Linked DNA regions of Saccharomyces cerevisiae S288C. Changing the gene in region 2 together with the main gene of any one other region gives a genetic interaction. Each region holds a gene or a part of one and is shown on either strand. Other genes may lie near its edges.

Region 1 (3,473 bases), on a different chromosome or scaffold from region 2:
CATGTCAGAGCAACAATGGCGCGAACAGCTGCGCAATAGAGACATAGCATTGTTTCAGCCTCCAAATTTCGATTGGGACCTTTGCTCTTCGGTACTATCGCAGTTTGAAAGGTCATATCCAAGCGAGTTCGCAAACCAGAACCAAGGGGGAGCCCAAGCGCCGTTTGATATAGACGACTTGGCGTTTGATCTAGACGGTACAGGAAAAAGCCAATCCGGCTCAAATTCAGGTAACAATAGTAAGAAAAGGAAGAACAAATCTAGTGGAAGTTCGATGGCTACACCAACACATAGTGACAGTCATGAGGATATGAAAAGAAGGAGGCTGGAGTAGCTTTACGCCATCGCATATCAGCCCCACTATAAATAAAGAGCAAGTGTTCATGGAAGTGGCACGTTTGTGCTTCGGCGGTAAGTACATGCAGTATATATGTTTAACTTTTTTGAATATAGAATATTAATTAACACGGAATAGGCTATTTTGAGACAGGCATGCTTTTTCAAAACATATCAAGCCATTTAAAATATTTGAACCAAGTAGGCTCAACGAGAATACAATTGGCCTTGGCAAATTTTTTTGCCATCTCCTGCTTATGGTTGAAACCCCAAATATGTGGTAAGTTCCAACTTCTAGTTCCATTTCGAGAAGAAACTTCCAACGGAAACTGTTCCAAGTGTCCCTCAATGATACACTTTCTGCCTTTAATCTCTTTGACGTTTGCTTTTAGTATAATCGTAGTATCTACAGGAATGTCCTCAAAAAACTCTAGCGACAGCCTTGCAGTTACACCTCTTTTACTAGGCAACAAAGGGAAGCCACAATAGCACAATGCTTCATCCAGCAACAATGACAACAAGCCCTTATGGACGTTACCGTCTCGATTCCCTAACTCAGCACCTAAGTGATAAATCACGGTTAATTCACCGTGATTCACATCATGGAACACCAAAGGATCAATTTCAAGCTTCCCCTTGCCGAACAAGAGGCCTTGTCCTACATGATATTCCCTATGCCCGCTTGGTATTTTCTCACTGAATAAGACATGGTGCATCTTCTCATCCTGGGCCAACTTGTTGTAAACCTCGCTTTTCTCGATTTGAGCGAGGATGTCAACCCTCTGCAGCTCCATAGGTTGGCGGCTCTTGGTCGCACTAATCAACTCCGCTGGCGTTTGCGGATCATTCAATGATAGAACACCGGCATCATCGGGCCACGCCTTTACAAACGCACCAACTCCTAATGTAAAACCTGCCGTAGGCAAAATTACTGCCCTGTTGACTAATTTAAATAGAAATGGAATAGTTCTGGACATATTGGAACTCACCCTCGATCTATCCTGTCATTTGGTCATTGTCTATAAAAATAAATACCTTGTTTTATATCCACTTTTCGAAGCGGTCCCCTTTCGGCGATAAAGGATTTCGTAAGCCCGAAGGCTTTAAGAAACTTTGCAGCACAAAAAAAAAAAAAAAAAAAAAAAAAAAGATCATCAACTATGACGCTGCCTGTGTTGTCGCTAGATCCTCATAATTCACTATCAAGTCATTATAGTTTTCGGTATGAGTTATCTGCAACCCATGCTCATTGGCTAAGTGTAGAAGGCATATAAAACAAAAGCTTGTTGAAATGTCCTTTAGTGTATCATCCGAATACATTTTACTTATACCCTGAATGATATCAGAAAACTTGAGCTCCTTTGTTGATTCATCTTCTGTGTGGGTTTCACTGTCATTAGAGCTTTGTTCTCTATTTTTCCTACTGTCATGTTCTTGTATCAAATTGTTGATCGATCTCCATACGTTTTTCTTTAATCTTCTTACGTCAACTTTTTTCGAAACTCTTGAATAAGTAACTTTATTTTCTCGAATGGGGAACTTATGATCTTCGTCATCCTGTAAATCAAGTTTCACACTGGCCTCCTCGTTATCATCTGTTCCTTCGAAAGCTTGGTTGAAGTCAACACCGTCCATGTCATCTTCAAACGGATTATCGAGCGCTCCACCCACCACATCACCAACCTCTTTAGACTGCTCCTTTTCTTTTTCCTCTTGTTCTTTCCTTTCGTAATTATCCGCCCAAAAGTGCTCATCTGCAATAGTAGGAATGTCGTTATTTGAATGGTTGGCAGAAACTGTGCTTTTTTCAAAAAGCCCCGAACTAACGTCGCCTCTGGTATGCTTCCTATGACTGAACAGACTCATTTTCTGCCCCGGTTTAATGAACAATCTTGTTATTCTATCAGTGGAAAAATGGAAGTCATCCGGCAGTAAATAATGTGTGTCGTTCTTTCTGTTCTTAATCGGCATGTCAATCTTTGTCCTTCCTTTTGAGGCAAAGACTTTGTCTTCAAAACTATCATCCGTTTTGAAGAAATCAATTTCCAGAACCTTTTTTTGTTTATGCTTCTTCTTCGTATCCATCGATTTGTCGTCCGTTGTGTTTTTGTCAGTAGTATCTCCTATAGTAGTTCGCGTTTCTTCCAACAGGTCGGATTCTTTATTCACTAAGTTTGCTTTCTTAAAATTTCGTACTTTCCAATGTTCTCTCCCTCTCCAGTTTCTATTTAGATTTTCGTCAAAGTATGCCATCAAATCTTTTTCGAATATACTTCCTGTGGTACTGTTGACATTATCATCATCTTGTTCATCATGTGATGTATTGTCATGATTTTCATCTGGATAGCACAGCTCCTGTTGCATGCCCATATCAAAGCCATCGCTATCATCTTCTGCATTATCTGGGACAGCTGCTTGCAATTCTTCTTCAGTTAAGAAGTTATCAAATCTGTTGTTAACATTTTCGATAAAGTCTTTCGCTTGATTAATATCTTCGACAACGTTCCTTAGTTGCTCAATCGATCCTGAAATTTCACACACCGCAATTTGATCAAATTTTATAAAATCCATACCAAGAGATAAAATCTCATCTTCCATGGAAGGTGCACTAATAACGGAATCATTTACGGTTGAGTCATTACGAGTACTTATCAATGACTGGCTAGGTTCATTTTCGTCATCTACTAAACTATCTCTTTCAATTAATTCTTCTTCTTTCCTTTGAAGTTTACCTTGCCCTACGTTTTGTGTATCCTTAATTGATGCATCGAAAATGACTCTTGCAGTGTTGTCTATGTTTAATGTGTTCAACAATAAACTCTTGGCGCCACCTTCATCGAAATCAACCAAGGCCTTTTTGAATAATGGATCAATTATTAATTCCTGGTCTAGCTCTTTCATCTTGATCGTTTCGAACTCCACCAATGTTGTTTCTAAAACTCTGTTGTACACTCTCCGCCTAGTGTTATTCACATCAGGATCATTAGATATAGGCATACCAGTTAAGGGATCAATCTCTATATTTGCTTCGTCACTGTCACCTCCAAGCCCTTCACCATTTCCCCCGTTACTGTCATCTCCGTTAGATGCCCCATTCGTCTTTCTTTGTGCCAACCCGCTCAATAACTTACCTGTTT
Region 2 (3,313 bases):
CAAAAATAGGTTAAAGTTTTATGACAGCATCCTAGAGACTTTCCAAAAGCAGATGGCGCGGTTGAATGAAAATAAGGAGCGATCGTCATTGCTTGGATTAGAAGAGGTCGGTTATATAGTTGAAGAAATGTTTAGAGGCAAGTCTCCTATTAGCGGATACTCTACGAAACTAGCTCTAACAAAATGGGAAGCTAACAAAGAAATCTCCTTAACCAATGTTGTTCTGATGACGAAAGAAGAGCAAGAAATTCACGAAAAAAGGATTTTGCTGGATGGTGAGAAACTGACAGCTGTATACTCTGAAGAAGTTCTCGATTTTATTGAGAGGCTTTTTAAAGAGGAGGAGTACTATTCTTAGCAATGGGAGATCAAAAATACAACATATTGAATATAGATTTATTAATACTATTTACATCATAGTGTAATGCAGTGTACTTCCTATAGAACCCGAATAGACGGTTTCATTGCGATATGCAAATAAAACAAAATGCGATGCATAATTAAATGCCAAAATTCCATTTCATTCTTTCATAGACGAAAAAACTACATGCAACCATAGGTGTTACTTTAATATAACCTATGCTTAGACCAACAAAAAATCCACGTACTCCACGTTCTTTAAATATTATGTGAGCAATTTCAGATATCGATTGAAATTTATGATCATACATAGTTTTTGGTGACAGTGCACTTACTTGGAGCCTTCTCCTAATAATTTCAAATGGATATGCTGCCGTTTGGGAGGCCATACCAGCTAGACCACCAGAGATCAATTCAGCCCACGTACGCAAAGGCCTTCTCTGCTTTTTCTGTACTCTTTCCAATTCATCATCTTCTGAAAGTTCTAATACTGAATAAGGGGCAAAGAAAGGACTCTTCAGCACATCATGAAGTAAATCGTGAGCAAAAAAGGAAACACCTGCATATGGTATCATGCCAAGTACAGTTGGAACATAACCCCTATAAAAATTACACCAATGACAAAACCAGTTAGGAATATAATCATTTTTGATTAGCGTGGCTGAAGCTGGTTCCTTATATATTTTCTTGATTATTCTTCCTAGCTTTACTCTCTTATGTTCTGTTTCATATGCTAACCTAACCCTCACGAGATCTAACGGATATGTTATGAAAACACTGCATAATCCTGCCAGTGAACCACTCACCAACCTTCTCCAATGTGACTCAAATTCTTTTGAGGGAATCAAGGTATTCCTAATCTGTTCATAAGCAACAAATTTGACAGCAGCATATGGAAAAATCCTTAAAAGGGTTGCTGAATGGCCTTGAAAAAACCCCCTTACCCCATCATTGATCCATATATGCTTGGCTGCCTCTACTAATCCTATTAGTGAGCCTGTGTACTTTGTGTAGTGCGGATTTGATGTTTGAAATAAAATTTTTATTCTATCTAAGGGTGCGATTAGTGTTTTCGCACATGAACCTGATATACCTCCAGCTAATCCCGATCGTACAATATAATCGAATGAATTTCTATCAAACGAGGTTTTTTGTGTAGTATTCTTGTTTATATGCTTATAGCTGTCGTTAGAATCTGGGCTATCTCGCGTCATACTTAAGAACTGTGTTTATTTTAGCAGTTACCTCGAGAAATTTCACTGGTGCTTTCACGAGCAAACTATTTTGTTACTCTGGCTGTTATGTCCTTCTTAAAGGATTTAACGAGTTCTAAAACGGCAAAGTTTTCAAGTGCTTGGATTTACACTATTTGAGGTTATTTTAAGAGATGATCTTTCAAGGGTTTTAAATATTAATTATAATATTATTTGGTCTTTTCTTCCGGCGGGTTGAAAGTTCCAGCTGCGGGAGGAAGGTAAAGTACTCCATTTGAAAAAATAGAAATTACAAGAAACGGCGTTAGCATTGGCGTATGCCTAAATCATCAAAATGGCGAATGAAATAGGTTTCCCTGAAAACATAGAGATGTGCTGCCCAATTACAAAGCTCAAAAGATACATAAAAAGAGGAAAAACAAACCTGTAGTTAACTTTTCCCTACTCTTTGATAACTGATGTTTTAGTAAATATTCTGAAAATAGAGGGGTAAATATTTAAAAATGTTGTATGGATCAATTACTTTTTATACCTTTTATGATCCAGTTTAAAAATATGTATAGATAATCGAGAATATGCAAAAATAAAAAAAAATACAAATGTGTTTTGCATTAATTCCTCTTCCAAAATGATAGAAAAGAACGTAAAACAAATAAATAAAATCACTCAGCCGGTTGGATGTTTTGGCTTCAATTAGGTTTATCTTCTGGTGGAGTATGATCTTCCAATGTAGGTCCTAACAACGGAATCTTTTTGTATAGCGTATCTTGAAACTTAGGCCATCCTTCTGTGAATACAAATAGCCCAAGCATGCTAGCACCACCCCATAACATTAAATTCGGAGCATAAGCTGTTAAACTTCTTAAAGAAAGTCTACCGAAATGTAGACCAGTTTTTGAAGACAGATGAGAAGTGTACTGTATTATAAATGTTAGTATACTAATTCGGTTCTAGCTCACATAATATGATAGGATACTTACCGCCATTGAGGTTAGTTTTAAGTCTTATGGATTGTATTTATCGATATATTATTCGACTTGCGCTTTTGCTGTGAAGATTATTCCAGAAGATATCTATAACAAATTATGCATTCAAACTGTTATGTGATATATCCCGTCCCCTTGATAAATGGTATGGTTTTTTGATGCGGAAACAACGGGTTGAACCATATTTAGTTTTAATTGGATCAAAATCACGTGACAAAATACTACTTTGCAATAGTAATACGCACTTGAAAACTATGTAAATATAAGTATATATTCAAAGTGCGACAGCGTTATATCGCATAGCATTCTTCAGTCATTAGAGGTAGTGGTGAAGATTGAGGACAGTTTCGCGGCTCGTAACGTTAGCAAAAACTACCCATAACTAGGTGCATATTACACTGATATTAAATTACAGAGTGAGAAATCGTACTAGTATAATTAAAATAGAATGAGAAGCCTAATTCTTTTGGATTCCATGCTTTTTATAAGCCGGAATAGAAAATTTTTCAGTGAATGTCTGTCCTGGTAAAATCGGGGCAGTTTCCAAAATGCTCCTGATCTGTTCTTCATGCTTGTCGGTCCCTTCAGGGATGTGCTTGTAAATATAATAATCTAAATCCTCACCTGGCTCTGCCCTTCTAAATAGTTTTGAATGAAATTCAACGCCGTCTTCGGCCCTCTTTTTGGCCAGCTCTCTTTGGCGGTTTTCTATCTGAAACTTTTCTTCTGTAGCTACTTCATGGTCACGTACAG

Evidence for each region.
Region 1: of LEU5 (region 2) and MRX3, a mutation in one rescues a mutant of the other (synthetic rescue), as found in Saccharomyces cerevisiae (2 studies listed by BioGRID, with this or other methods).

What each region holds. Positions count from the first base shown.
Region 1 is NC_001134.8:41,117-44,589, reverse strand, and holds MRX3 (Mrx3p), read right to left. Parts: upstream 1,314-3,473; coding exon 501-1,313; downstream 1-500. Other genes in the region: ROX3 (Rox3p), read left to right, coding at 1-334; condensin subunit BRN1, read right to left, coding at 1,495-3,473. UniProt on the Saccharomyces cerevisiae protein: Component of MIOREX complexes, large expressome-like assemblies of ribosomes with factors involved in all the steps of post-transcriptional gene expression.
Region 2 is NC_001140.6:107,073-110,385, reverse strand, and holds LEU5 (coenzyme A transporter), read right to left. Parts: upstream 1,575-3,313; coding exon 501-1,574; downstream 1-500. Other genes in the region: TCD1 (tRNA threonylcarbamoyladenosine dehydratase), read left to right, coding at 1-358; QCR10 (ubiquinol--cytochrome-c reductase subunit 10), read right to left, coding at 2,264-2,491, 2,555-2,560; oxysterol-binding protein related protein OSH7, read right to left, coding at 3,018-3,313. UniProt on the Saccharomyces cerevisiae protein: Required for the accumulation of coenzyme A in the mitochondrial matrix.